Lonchura striata: one gene and its partner. The protein of the gene in region 2 binds, or shares a complex with, the protein of the main gene of each other region. Links are inferred from orthologs where the notes say so. Each region holds a gene or a part of one and is shown on either strand. Other genes may lie near its edges.

Region 1 (7,388 bases), on a different chromosome or scaffold from region 2:
ACGGGGCTGAGAGTGGGAGCAGAGAGGGACTGGGACCATAACGGGGCTGAGAGTGGGAGCAGAGAGGGACTGGGACCATGGAGGGACTGAGGCCATGTAGGGACAGCGATGGGGGCCATATAGGGTCAGGGACCGTGTGGGAACTTGGACCATATAGGGACAGGACCATATAGGGACTTGGGCCATATAGGGACAGGACTTGGGCCATATAAGGACAGGATCATATAGGAACTCGAGCCATACAGGGTCAGGGACAGAACCATATAAGGACTTGGGCCATATAGGGACAGGAATGGGATCGTACAGGGACTTGGGCTATACAGGAATAGGAATGGGATCATTCGGGACTCGGGCCATATAGGACCACAGGACCCCGTGTGACAGGGTGACCATGTGCAGGGGCTCAGTGTCCACTTCCACATCCTGGTCCTGGGGTTCTCCACAGCCGGTGTGGCCCCACCAGGGATGGTGACCGTGTCCAGCGCGGTGCCCAGCCCGGCAGTGGCCCCTGCTGGCCCCATCGGGGCTCGCTGCAGGGACCCAGGGGCCGCGGCAGGAGCCCGGAGCCACCGCGGGGTCCCCAGCGCGGCCACCGCAGCTCCTCCCTCTCCAAAGCCTCTTCCAGAGCCCCGGCGATGGGATGGGGAGACAAGATGGGCCCAGCCCAGCACCGGGAACTGGAGCGACTGGTTTAGCTGGGTCAAAGTGGAGCAGGGGAGTCGCAGTGGCTGAAACCTGTTCCAAGCTGTGTGTAAAGCTCCTGGCATGTCCCTCACTGCTCCCGCTTCCCAGAGCTCGTCCTGGGAATCTGCCAGCCGTGCTGGGCGCGCTCTGCCCCGGCCGCAGGGTCCGGGACCCCCCGGGACCCCTCGGGACCCCCCCAGTGCTGGGGTTCGCCCTGGGGCTGCTGTCCCGAAGGGTTTGGGGGTCCCGCTGTCCCTCGGACACTGCGGCCGTGCCGCTGCCCGCAGTCCTGGCCCTGTCCCCTCTGTCCCCTGGCAGGGACCGGGGTCGGGGTTATTTTTGGGCAATGCCCGTCCCTGTCACGAGCAGCTGCTGGCCCGGTGACTCTCCCGGGCGTTCCCGGAATCCTGCCCGCCGCTCGGGGACCGGGACACGGCGAGTGAGTGCCACGGGCCCCTCCCAGTGCCCCCATGCCCAGCCTCGGGATTTGGGGATCCGGCCCCTCCCGGAGCCCCAGGGATGGAGCCGGGTCCTGCTGGGAGGCAGCTCCTGAGCCGCCCTTTGGGATCCCTGCTCCTCTCTGGAACTCGCAATTCCAGCTGGGACCCCTCCTCTGCTTGGGGACCCCCCAGTTTCCCCATTCCCTGGGCGCTGGGGAGGGTGCCCAGGCAGTTTTGGGGTGCCCAGGCAGGGCCCATCCTCAGCCGCAGGGACGGGAAGTGAGGGAGGTGGAAGCAGAGGCAACAGGATGTAATTAGCCCCAAATTAGGGCTGGAACCCGGCATGAGGAGCCCGGCACCACCCGGCCCTGCTGAAAATGCAGCTCCTGTTTGAGGGGGTCCCAATCCTGAGGGAGGCTGAGGGATCTGGGGGCTGAAGCACTTGGGGTTGAGGAATTGGGGTGATCAGGAATCTGGGGGATCAGGAATTCGGGGGATCAGGAATTTGGGGACTGAAGCATTTGGGGGCTGAGGAATTTGGGGGCTGAAGCATTTGAGGGATCAGGAATTTGGGGGATCAGGAATTTGAGGGCTGAGGAATTCGGGGGCTGAGGAATTCGGGAGCTGATCTCCCCGGGGATGCCGGAGCCGGGCAGGCTGCGGGCTCCATCCCGCGCGGATCCGGGGCCGTAACGGGATCCGCGGATTATCAGCATCACCCGGGCCGGCTCGGAGTCCGGTTTCCTGGCCGAGGCGTTGCTGCAGCAACGCCGGGCTCGGGATTGTGGGGCCTTTTCAGCCGGACAAGAGTCCTTTGAGCGCGGGGGGCCCCCGCGGAGTCACCCGATAGCCCCCGCCGCTCCCCCCGGGCCCCGCCGGCCCCGCGGCCGCTCCGAGGACACCGGATCCCTTCATCGGCCCCGGGAGCGGGGCTGGCCGCGGCCCCGGCCCCGCGGCGCTGACGGACGGGGGATGCCGGCGGTGCCCCCGCGGGGTCACGGCGTGGCCACCGCGGCCACCGGCGGGGGCGCCGGGCACTGAGCCCGGCGGGGGACCCCGGTGCCCGTGCCGGTGCCCGTGCCGGTGCCGGTGCCGGTGCCAGTGCCCGTGCCCGTGCCCATGCCGGTGCCGGTGCCGGTGCCCGTGCCGGTGCCCGTGCCCATGCCGGTGCCCGTGCCGGTGCCCGTGCCGGTGCCCGTGCCCGTGCCGGTGCCCGTGCCCGTGCCGGCCCTCCCTACATCCCCGGTTTTTCCACATCCCGGGGGCGGCGAGGGGCGCTCGGGGGTGGCACGGGGAGCCCCCCTGAAGTGGGGCTGTCTCCCCAGCCGTGTCCCCGGGGCCAGGCCGGGGTTGTGCCCCCCACGCCCGGCCCCGCGGGGCTGGCCGGCGGTGCCAGCCGGGCTGCCCAGCCCCGGTATCGGATCCTCCCGGAGGGAGGGGGCTTGGAGCTTATTTAACGGGCCCGGCCGGGCCGGGCGGGCGCACTCGGAGCACGGGGAGCTCAGGTGAGCACAGGTGTCCCCGTCCCCCCCAAACCTCCCCGCCCAGCCCCTGGGAACCCCCCCAGTCCTGCCCAGGGGGACCGCGGCCGCGGGTGGGTGACATGTGGGGGTGGCACCGAGACGGGGGGGCCGGTGGGTGACGTGCTGGGGGTCCCGCAGCCACAGCCATGGGATCGCAGCTGGAAGGGGCCATGGAGACCCTGATCAATGTGTTCCACCACTACTCGGGCAAGGAGGGGGACAAGTACAAGCTGAGCAAGAAGGAGCTCAAGGAGCTGCTGCAGAGCGAGCTGGGATGTTTCCTGGAGGTAACTGGGACCAGTTTGGGGTGCGGGGGTCTCCCTTTCCCCGTTCCCCGGGGGAACAGCGGCTGCCCAGCCCCAGGGCTCACCCTGTGTCCCCCCCAGACCCAGAAGGACGCGGGGGCCGTGGAGAAGATCATGCAGGACCTGGATGAGAACGGCGACGGGGAGGTGGATTTCCAGGAATTTGTGGTCCTGGTGGCCGCTCTGACCGTGGCCTGCAACAACTTCTTCTGGGAGAACGCCTGACCCCCCTCCTGCCGCAGCAGGACGTGGGCTCCCAAAATCCAGAGCCCCCCCGCCACCCTCCGGCTCACCCCCTCAGCATTCCCAGGGGATCCCACTGGGATCCAGCTGCACAATAAAGGCACAACCCTGCCCGAGGTGTGTCCGTGTGCGTCAGCTCCTTCCTTCATTCCTGCTCGGGATTCCTGCCCCATCCCCTGGGAATATCCCACTCTGGGCGCACAGGGAAAAGCCAGCCTGGGTCACCCCAGAAGCCTGGAGACAGCCCTGGCTCCACCCCAGGATCCACCCTGGGATCCACCCGGGATCCACCCTGGGATTCACCCTGGGATCCGCCCCGACCGCCCGGGGCAGGGTGACCCCAGGGCGGGGGATCCCGGCCGGTGTCAGGGTGTGGGACACGGGAGCCCCGGGATTTGGGAAGGGGGTGACAGGCCGGGACTCGCTGCCGGTGGCTCCGGAGGCGCCAGCACTGCTCCCGCGGGGCTGGAGGAACCGGTTGGGATCTCCCAGCCCACTGGGATGGGACGGTGGCCAAGGGCCCCACCAGGGCCACCAGCGCCATCATCTGCCCGCCATCCCGGCTTGGGATCGGCCCTGCCTGGGTGGGATGGACATCGGGACAGGGGCACGGGACAGGGGTCAAGGAGCAGCTGGGCAGTGCTCCCAGGGACATGGTGGGACACCAGGAGTGTCATGGGCAGGGGACTCCACGGTCCTTACAGACCCCTTCCAACTCCGCAACTCCCTAACGCCTGGATCCTATATGATTCCACAGCTGAGCATTTTGTGATTCCATAATTCCAAGATTCCATGGAGCTGACAGAGGAGCTGATAAAGCTGACACAATTCCGTGGGACGTGGGGATCCCAGCACCGCGTGACTCCGTGACTCCACAGCTCCATGACTCCACGGTTCCTTGACCCCCCTGACTCCCTCATCCCACGGTTCCATGACGGTTCCATGACGGTTCCATGACGGTTTCATGACGTTTCCATGACGTGACCATGACGACACCGCTCTCTATGACGTCACGGGGACTCCACCCCTACTCCCGCCAGAACGTTCCCGCCTCTCCCTCAGCCCCGCCCCTTTCCCCGCCCCCTCCGCCGCTCCACCAATCACCGCCCGGCCCGGGGGGGCTCGCGCGGCGGTGGGCGTGGCCGGGAGCGCGGCCGCCATTTCGGCGGGGGCGGGAGCGGCGCCGGCGCCATTTTGTCGCGGGCGGCTGAGGGAGAAGCGGCAGCGGCGGCGGCGGGCGGAGCTCAGCGCCAGCCCCGGCCCGCGCCGGCCCCACACCGGCCCCGCACTCACTCACCCGCCCGCCCGCCCGCCCGCCTGCTGGCCGAGCCACCGGAGACCTGGCGACCGTGTGCTTCGGTGAGTGACCGGCCCGGCTGCGCGGGGGCGGGGCGCCGGGGGCCGCTCCTGAGGGCCGGGGGGTCCCCTCAGGGCCCCCTCATAGCCCGGAGAGCCCCTCACGGTCGGGGCTTTTCCTCCGGAGCCGGGCCTGCGGGAGGCGGAGCGGTTTGTTTTTATTTTTTTTTAATCCTCAGGAAGAAAAATGCTTTAAGAACCACTTCAAATTGAAGAAGCTGCTGTATATTAAAACAAAATTATTATAATTAGTTTCAAGCAGCAATGAGGCTTTCTGTTGTCTCAGTTTCTGGTTGTAAATCCTCTCAATAAAACGTTTTTTTCAGGGTACTATAGAATAAACGCATCCCGGCCGTCATCCACTCATTCGATTTGCTGCTAATTATAAAATAAATTAATAAATCGATCTGCAGAGCTCGGGGGTTGGAGCCCAGCGTGTTTCTGTAGCATCCAGCACTGGGGGGGGATTTAAATCCCTACCCTGAGGGAATTGGAACCTCCATGTTTTTAAAGGGTACGATGCTTTTGTAGCATCGTCTTGGATTTTTATTCCCTGTGCCCTTAAAATTGGGGTTTGCACCTTGGTCATGCTAAGAACACGGGAAATGTGGAGGTGTCAGTGTGCAAAAGGCGTTTGGGTGCTATTTACACCTGGATTTGTATGTTATTACTCAGAAAAACGATAAGGTATTCACTGTAAAAATATAAATTTTTACTAAAGGTAAATTAAAATAACTCCCTTTTTTATTAAACCTGGTAGAGGGCTAGAAAACATTAAAAATGCATAAATACAATACCTATAACTAGCCTCACTCTTAGTTCTCTCCACAGAGAGCAGAAGTTTTTTAATGTTTAATCATGTAAATACGTAATAATTGTTTTAATTTGATGTCTTGGATTCTGTTTTGCATCTTTGCTCTGGAGGTGGCATTTGGTTGCCATCTTGCTCCTGGATTTTTGTGTTATTTTTCCTAATATTGCTGAAGCATTCACTGTAAAATGATATATTTTTGGTAAGGGAGAAATAAAGGAACTCCCTGATTTATTAAAACCGGGAGAAGACCAAAAAGCATTCAAAATCCCAGAATCAGAACAGAAAAATTCTGGCAGAGGGCTAAAAATCAGTGGGGAAAAATGAATATATTGCACATAACCTGCCCTAATCTTGATTTCCTTCACCCAAAGAGGCAGAACGGAAGGGATGTTTAGTATTTTGCAGTATAAATGTGTAATAAATGTCTAAATTTTCCCTTCTGGGCCCTGTTTTGCAGATTCTCTGAAGATGGCTGCACAGTCAGCACCGAAGGTCGTGCTAAAGAGCACCACCAAGATGTCTCTGAACGAGCGGTGAGGAAGCCAACGGCACCTTCAGCTCCTAAGAAATCATATATAATTTTTTTTTTTTTTTTTTACTTAATTCTCACTATCCAAAAATCCAAAAACCCACCGTGGTTTCCGCCCTCTTTTAACCTCGTCGAGCGAGCGGGTGCCTCCACCCCCGCCTTACCCTCCGACCCCTGCGGCACGCAAGGTTAAAAGGGCCAAAAATCCCGGAGGGATTGCTCCGTGTTTAGTGTTGATTCGCCTCGTAAATCCGGTGGGATGTGTTGTTGTAAGAGCAGAGACCAGCCTCACACCCTCCCTGTCTCTCCCACATGTTTTGACATTGGTATTTTGGCTCTGCTGCCGCGCCCGAGGCTCCCACCCGCCCGGGTGGGCCCTGTAAGAGGCCGGCGGCGGCCCCGGAACCGGCCCAAAGGCTCTTCTGGGCCTTGTAAGAGGCACCAGCTTCGCTTCACCTCCATCTCTCTCTGTCCTCGAGCTCTTCCCGTGGGTCATTCCGCTGGGTTTCTCCACGTGTGGCTCCTCTGTGACGACTAACGGGTGTCCTGCTGAGCATTTTGGGGTTAAACACGCTGGCCTGGGGCAGCTGCTCTGCCACTGAGCATTTTGGGGTTAAACACTGGAATGGAGCAGCTACTGTCCCACTGAGCATTTTGGGGTTAAACACCCTGGAATGGAGCAGCCACTGTCCCACTGAGCATTTTGGGGTTAAACACGCTGCCATGGGGTAACCACCATCCCACTGAGCATTCTGGGGTTAAACACCCTGGAATGGAGCAGCCACTGTCCTACTGAGCATTTTGGGGTTAAACACCCTGAAATGGGGCAGCCACTCTCCCACTGAGCATTTTTGGGTTACACACGCTGCCATGGGGTAACCACTGTCCCAGTGAGTATTTTGGGGTTAAACACCCTGAAATGGGGCAGCCACTCTCCCACTGAGCATTTTGGGGTTAAACACCCTGAAATGGGGCAGCCACTGTCCTACTGAGCATTTTGGGGTTAAACACCCTGGAATGGGGCAGCCACTCTCCCACTGAGCATTTTGGGGTTAAACACGCTGCCATGGGGTAACCACTGTCCCAGTGAGTATTTTGGGGTTAAACACGCTGCCATGGGGTAACCACTGTCCCAGTGAGTATTTTGGGGTTAAACACCCTGAAATGGGGCAGCCACTCTCCCACTGAGCATTTTGGGGTTAAACACGCTGCCATGGTGTAACCACTGTCCCAGTGAGCATTTTGGGGTTAAACACCCTGGAATGGAGCAGCCACTGTCCCAGTGAGCATTTTGGGGTTAAACACCCTGGAATGGGGCAGCTTTTGCTCCCTGCAGGCAGCTCAGGGACACCTTGCTGCCCCTTCCCCCCCGTCAGACCAAACTCCTCGTTTTTAGGATGGGTTTTGTTCGCCAGCTCCCAGGAAGCTGCTGGGGTGCTGCTGAGGAGTTTTATTTTCCGCCTCGCTGCGTCCATGGAGAAAAAAAACACCACA
Region 2 (7,623 bases):
ATAATCACAAAAAAACAACATTCATACCAGAATTCATTCAGAATTCATACCACTGGCAGATGTGAAAGTAACCCCATACACTTGTGGTATAGAAGCATGGGTATCTGGTCCAGAAGATGCCTTCCTGCATTCTTTAATAACTAAATTAGACATTATAATGCACTCATGAATTAAATTAAAGGGGTTCCATGTCGGCGTATGCTCAAAATGAGAGACACATTGTAAGGAAATTCTTGCTAAAAAAATGTCCAACTAATTCAAGTTCTCTGCTGAAATCACAGTAGTATTGCTAGGTTAGAATCCAAAAAAATATTGCTATGTGAAGGGAAGAGCTGTTGATAGCATGGTTTTTGTGAATAGCAGCCAGATTGTGATGCCTTGCTTCTGAAAAAAAGATTTCCATAGTATTAGTAGCACACAGATATGAATTTTAGTAAATTCTTATGGCAAAAACTCCCCACATTCTCTACATTGGGATAAAACAAACAATATATGCTAAACACTTTTGCAAGTTTTTGACTCTAAGGTAAAATCCCTGGTCTTGGTAATTTAAGTCCTTAGTGGGCCATTTGACAATCACTGCTGTTTGTGACCATATTTCCACCTATCTGCAGATATAAATTGATAAAAATGAAGTATAATGCCTGGTAGTATTCCAGGAGATCTATGCCAGCAAGTCCCATATCCCAGATAAAGATGAAGAATAGAAAAATCAGTCATTCTCAGATTCATAAGTGAAGCATATAAGTCTTCTAGGTGAATCCAAAATCTTCTACATAAATGAACCCTTCCTAGGTACTCTTGCCAAATTATTTTTAAAAATGCCACCAAAATACAAAATATATCAATAAAACACTTCTGCTGTAACTGGTATGAGAGAATGGGATCATATGGTATATATTCCCCAGCAATTTATTCAATAAATCAAGAGGAAACCCTGAAAGTATTAAATGGACAAGAACATCATAACGAGATTTGACAAACATAAAAGTTGAATACATATTTTGGTGAAAAGTGTAATATACTAATAAAATGCAGAAAGATTCTCTGTTATTCACGTTATAAAAATGTTATTTAAGTTTTCCTGAAGGGCTGTGCTTTGTGTTAATCTTGCTTCTCCTTCGTCAGTCCACACATTATTAATTGTACCTCACAGTCAGTAACAAGCTACAGTGACTGGCAGGACGCCACCTTAAAATTAAGTGCCTAAGGTAGGACACCTTGTATTCATCAATGTTTAAAAGATAAAACTGCCTTGTGCAACTTCCCATGACTGGTGTGGAAACAACAGGTAAGCTAGTTAAACCAGGCTCCTAAGGCAATTTATCCACCCTGTAGTTCTGCACTGAAGGGTGTGCAAGGTGGTGGGGAAGGAAATGGGTTGAGAAGAAAAGCACTTCAGCATGAGAGCTGGAAACTAAGAAGGGAGAACAAAGCACTAAGCCCTCAGGCTATCAGAGATCGGAGGCTTCAGGTCTCCAGATATGCCCTTCTGCAGAAGTGGTAACAGAAATTAAAATTGAAAGATTGATCTTGGAACGGGGTTTTACTCCAAAAGACAGCATCTGGGTGAAGTTTTTTGTAATTCCATCTACACAGCCTCTTGACATAAAATGATAGAACATCTGTTCTAGCAACTGACCTCTGAGTACACAGGTCTCCTGAGATACTGTTGCTGTTGATTGCTTTCATCTATCTGAGCTTTCAACTGGTGATAGCTTTAAATCTGGGCTGAAAAATTATTTGGCGTATAATACTATTATAGAAAGCAATATTTACTTCTTTTTCCCCACCTTAGCTGTGCTAGCTTTCCACCTAGCACATACCAGAAGACACAGCTTTTTCTAACATACTAACATATCTAATTTATAATTAGCTACATTGACAATATCACTGACTGCTCTTTATATCCAGGATAACTGCGGCATTTTAATTCACGGGTATGCAGCACTACTCCTCTGATTGAGTTTCTGATCCCCCAAATCAGATTTTGTCTGCCAGCCCAGAGCACAGTTTGGCACCTCTGTTAAGGTGATGAGGATGGCTCTAAGCGATGTTGTCAGGTGCTGCACGGTGACACCACCACGTTGGCAAGCAGAAGTGCCACGCCGCTGACATTGCAGGGCAGGGCTCTGCCCGGGGTGCACAGCAGCTGCTGGGGCGAGAGCTTCTTCAGGCACTGCAGCCTCATCTGTCCGCAGCACAACAGGAGCACTAACAGCCCAGCGCTCATCCCCACCTCTCCGCGAGAAAGTAACACCGTTCCAAACGGGAAAAATTCGGTACAGAACAAGAGGTGGCTATAAACCACTATTAAATCACATTGTTCTTTATCTGTTCCTACCCCAAGGAAAAAAACTCCTCAGTCATGTTGTACTCATTAACAAATATACTGCACTGCTTTTTCAGTATGTTGGCAGTTCTCTCCGTTCATCTAAAACATTAGTCTTGGCTTAAGGAATATTTCTAGTCAAAAATGACTCAATTTTCTTTAGCAGTATCTCCTTACTTTCACTTCTATCATCTTTTTAAAGTGTAAAGCTTTTTTTATAACCAATTTATAGAGTTCTTCTTTGTTTCTCTTTCTTACAGCAAGAGATGGGGGCTAGAATAATTTCAAATTGTTCATTTAGAATGGCCATTTATTCAGCTGATAATATTATTTAATTTATTAAAGTAAGAGATGAGAAATAGTGGAGGGGGAGGGGGGAAGTAAACTTTCGCCCAAGCCTGAATGAACAACATTCAGCAAGTCTCAAAGCACACGCAGGTGACTCATTCAAAAAAGACAGATCATGTGGAGCCTTATTTTCAATGTCATGAAGCCTCTTCCCCCATGGTTTGAAAGGAATTGGCATCCTCTGGCATTGCCCACGTTTCTTAGGCAGTGTCAAGCAATGATTTCAGTTATGGATGAGGTGACAAACTCTGGGCTGGCAGGGTGCCTCCACCTCCCCATTAGCGGAGCAGCGCCTGGAACCAGCCACCCAAGCGCGGGTCAGGCCGCCCCTCCCGCTGCATCTTCCTTTTCTGGGCAAACACTTCCCTCTCCCGGTACAAACGCTAACTACAGCCACACCACGCCATAAATCATGCCCCATATATTCCCATCTATCCTTTCATGCTTTACTTTAAATATTTGCACTTAATAATGACAATAAACTTAATTTTAATATTACTCGCCTCTTCCCATATGAACGGGATATTCGATGTTTGAGCTTTTTCCCACGTTTGATCAAGAGTTTGGCAGTACCTGTGCTTTTGGCCGGACACCAAGGTCACTTCTACCCCTGACAATTCTATGATTCTGATTCTATGATCATGATAAATGTAATTTATCAAATATTTCTGTCGCCCAGGAGGTATCTGTAGGATATTGCTCAACCTGTAAATTGTCAGCACTGAGGTGATTTTACTGATGATATTAAGTCCCTAATCATTTTTACTTCAGTGGAAATGGTGGGAGACTGTGGTCTAGGGTTTTTTATCAGGAAAAAAATAACCAACAGTTACATCTGTAGAGTCATTTCAGCTTTGGTAATAGTGAAATGTGAAAGGTCTGGGCACAGTCTGATGAGGAGTGGCTGAGGAAGCTGGGGTTGCTTAGCCTGGAAAAGGGAGGCTCAGGTTGTTGTTCAAAATAGGTTCATTCACCTGATATTTAAGAAGCCAGTCCACAATCTGAGTCGAGGTGTTTTATTTACTTACAGTCCTGAGCAGAGGACTGCCGAGCAGCAAATCCACAAAGCCAGCACACTGACTACCAATATGTTTCCCTATTTATACATTTTAGCAAACAAAGGCATTAATGTTCACTGGCAACAAGTTGCATAGTTCTCTTATTAATTTGTATTCTATCTTCTGTTAGTTAAGTAATTCCCTCATACTCACTCTAATTAATCGCTATGGCCAGGCCTTCTCCTGAGCCCATGGGTCGGTGGTTGCAATCTCCCTGTCAGAATTACCTTATACTCAGCTCCAGCCGATTCCAGCACAGTTGCAGAGTTGGCTTTGTCACTTCCGTCCTTATCTCGGGAGTTCTGCCAAACTTTCTGGTGACCTGCAAATGCTGCATTCTTTTGTGTCCACTCTCAGTGGCACATCCTTCTCCTCAAGCTTAGCGGACCATCCGAGATCACTGAACCATGTCAAATACTAAACTTTTAACAAGCCAATTCCACCGAGAAGCCATTTATCCTTCTAACACCTGCACGTCAAGGGAAGACCTCATCACCCTCTGCAAGGAGGAGGCTGTGCACAGCCGGGGCCGGCCTCGTCTCCCCGGCAACACCGACGGGACAGGAGCAAACGGCCCCAGGCGGTGCCCCGGGAGGTTCAGCCTGGCCACCGGGAACGGCCGCCCCGCCGGCGGGGCTGCCGGGCATTGGAACGGGCTCTCCAGGGAAGCGGCGGAGGCGCCATCTCTGGAAGCGTGCGGATGTGGCCCTTGCGGACGCGTTTTGGCGGCGGGCCGGGCAGTGCCGGGTTAGGGGCTGGACCCGACCGTCCCGGCGGCGTTTCCCGAGCCGCAGCCGGGCGCCGCTGGGCGCGGCCGGGCCCGTCCCGCCGCCGCTGCCGCGTCCCGCCGGGAGGGCGGGGCCGCGGCGTCATCCGCGCGCGCCCGCCGCGCCGCCCGCCCGCCGACATGTCGCCGCCGCTCTTCAGCCTGCCCGAGGCGCGGCTCCGCTTCACGGTGAGCCTCCCCCGCCTCCCTCCGGCCTTCGCTCCATTCCTGCCGCTCGGGCCGGGCTACGGGACGCGGCTGTGCCTCGGCGCCCCCGGGCCCGCGGCCCGGCCGCTCCCTGATGGAGCTGGGCGCGGCCGAGGTGCGGCGGCGCGGGGCGGCAGCGAGGGCGGGCTGCACGCCCGCTCGGCCGGGGCCGGGGGACCAGTCACCAGGGTAGCGGAATTAATGTGAAAGACAAAGTGTAGCGTGCCTCCTGCAGCAAAACGTCCGGGCGTACTGCGTTTGCTGCCTCTGCTGAAGGATGCCTTTCCTGTCCCAGAGCTGGGGGCTCCGTGTGTTCCCAGGCCTCTGGATCCCGGCGTTTGCCAGCCAGGTTGTCAGACAAGAGGATGGGATTTGCACTGAAGTGCTCGAGGCACAAGCACTCGATTCATTAGACCGAATTTGTAACAGGAAGTCGTAATTTTTAGACCATCTTCTTAGCAGGAGTCGTGTGCTTTTAAACATCTTCATAAACGCAGGACTTGCAGGGATCCTATGCAAGTTTGAAGGTGATAGAAAATTGGGAGGAGTTACTAACTCCCTTGAAGACAGCGAGAGGCTTTCAGGCACACGATGCGATTCTTGGGGCTGTCTGTGCAGAGCCAGGAGTTGGACTTGATAATCCTTGTGGGTCCCATCTGACTCAGAATATTCTCTGATCTGTGTCCCAAACCACCATAACCACCTGAAGCTGTGAGTGTAGCACGTGAGACAATGATGGATACAGTGTTGGTGTTTGCACTACACTGTTACCCCAGGTTTGAGGTGTGATGCTCTGTAGCTCACGTGCTTAATTTCCCATGTACTTGTTATTTGCCCTTCCTATTACAAAGCTCTCTCTGTAAACTAACACAAGGTGTGTGGCAGAAGGATTCCTTAGTATTTCTGCCCACTGTCAGATGAAGGAGGAAGATGCTTTAAGTTTTGTGCTTTCCTTAGCTTTTCTTTCTTTGCATTTTGGTAGACATCCACCAGAGAGGCTCTGATTAACAAAAGCATCAAGCCATTGTTGAATGCATTTAACCAGGTTCCTGGAAGGTAAGTAAAGGCCACTTGATTTTTTAAAAAGTACCTATTTAGATCAGTTTTAGTAATCTTGTGCCTGAGGGTTGTTACTAACTATGGTGGAATGTTTTCTTTTGCAGTGAAAATGAAAAGAAGTGTACCTTGGATCAAGTTTTTAGAGTTGTTGTAGAAGAAGAAATAGTAAGTATTTTAAACTGCTGAAGCTTATCTCTTCTTCAGCCTCAAATTTCTATTAGCGGGCTCGTGTATTAATGTAATAACAATTTACTTTAGTGTGAGAAAACACTTTATTAAAAACAAGAGCTATGTAATGGTGAGGTAATTGAGATGAAATACAGATGATTCAAGGAGATTGGTAGAATCTTGTATTTTACAGACATCACACTATGGTGAGAGCTGTTTGAGCCTTTTCTAGCAGTTCTTTGTAATGCTTATGAAAGTCTGCTACATCTTAAAATTCTAATTCATAAACATGCATCGTTCAGTAATTGTTCTTTAAGAGTGGGTGGAAAGGGTAGGTTTGGAGTAGATGTCAGAAAGAAATTCTTCACTGTGAGGGTGGTGAGGCACTGGAACAAGTTGTCCCAAAATGTTCTGGATGCTCCATCCAATGTGGAAGTGATCAAGGTCAGGTTGGATGGGGCTTTCAGCAACCTGGGCTAGTGAAAGGTGTCTCTGCCCCTGGCAGCGGGGTTTGAGCACTGAGATATTTTGCCCTCCTCAAATCAAAATTCTTTTGTGGTATGTTACTAATATGTAACAAAGCTGCCTTGTCAGCTGAAAAGAATGATAAAAGGAGTCAAATAATGTATGATCAAGTAATATTCAAATGAAGTCTGAATGTGGGATACTAATTTTCAGAAGTAAATGACTGTACATTTGGGTCTTTAGTGGGTGGAAGCAGTCAGGAAAGGTTTAATTTTCAATAAAAATTCAACTGCAGTTAACTGATAGGTCAGATTTCATAGATTGTTTTGAAAAGTTGAATTTCAGCATTTGTTTTAAATATGCCTACTTGGAAACAAGAATTTTACTTTTGTTAGGTACATTATGGTTAGTTTGGAGAATTTCAACACTGTTTTCTTTGTTTAGATAAACAAAGCTCCATGTGAGAATCTCCTGGCAATTATTTCTCTTGCTATTAATGGAGTCACAGAAGGTGAGCATTTCTCTTTCAAATCTATTGGCAGTTTCAAAGACCATTTAGGGAAATTTTAAAATCTTGATTTCTGTAAATCATCTGCTGTGATTACATTTGGTGATATATAGCTCTTATGTTAGTGGTTAAGCTTGGATTTGTTTCAGAAGAGAAATTAAGTATAATATAATTAAATTTGGTTATATATGTGACATTTATGTTGGAAAATTTTTGTTTGTTTGTTTGTTAATAAAAAAAGATGAATGGGTTTGGTTGCAGCATGATTAGCAGTTTCTTTGTCCAGCACTCTAAAATGATTAGAAGTTTCCCATCATAATTTTAAAGATGAGACCACTGAGGCAGAGAGGTAAAATGACTTGGCAGAGGCAGAAATAACATCTCCTGGGTATCTGTGCTCATCTCCTGTCAGTATATGGCTGGTTTTTACATATTTAAATCTGTTTTAATGACAGCTTGTGTCAGACATCAGTGTGCTGTTCTCCTCTGAAATGGCTTTTGCTCTCTTCCTTTTCTTTATTTGTTCACATTATTCATCAAAAATTGTTTGTTTTAGTAAGTACAGATTACAAGCTGTATGTTTTGTGAGCTGTAGAATAACAAGAACTGTGCTTTGAGGAAAGCAGTCACTGCCTACAGAGCATGGGTGGATGGACTTGGAGCTCTGTTTTAGTGGTTCTTGAAAAGGTTCACAGGCTTCATGGATGTGTGT

What was found. The genes of interacting proteins can lie anywhere in the genome.
Region 1: THOC1 (region 2) and CHTOP share a complex: the UniProt entries of both Homo sapiens proteins name them as parts of the transcription/export (TREX) complex. The link is inferred for Lonchura striata from reciprocal best matches to the Homo sapiens genes THOC1 and CHTOP.

What each region holds. Positions count from the first base shown.
Region 1 is NC_134635.1:3,147,169-3,154,556, reverse strand, and holds the start of CHTOP (chromatin target of PRMT1 protein), read left to right. Parts: upstream 1-4,376; 5' UTR 4,377-4,554; intron 4,555-5,822; 5' UTR 5,823-5,833; coding exon 5,834-5,898; intron 5,899-7,388. Other genes in the region: S100A1 (protein S100-A1), read left to right, coding at 2,794-2,934, 3,034-3,177. UniProt on the Homo sapiens protein: Plays an important role in the ligand-dependent activation of estrogen receptor target genes. May play a role in the silencing of fetal globin genes.
Region 2 is NC_134603.1:48,096,380-48,104,002, reverse strand, and holds the start of THOC1 (THO complex subunit 1), read left to right. Parts: upstream 1-4,608; 5' UTR 4,609-4,645; coding exon 4,646-4,693; intron 4,694-5,693; coding exon 5,694-5,767; intron 5,768-5,874; coding exon 5,875-5,935; intron 5,936-6,847; coding exon 6,848-6,914; intron 6,915-7,623. UniProt on the Homo sapiens protein: Component of the THO subcomplex of the TREX complex which is thought to couple mRNA transcription, processing and nuclear export, and which specifically associates with spliced mRNA and not with unspliced pre-mRNA.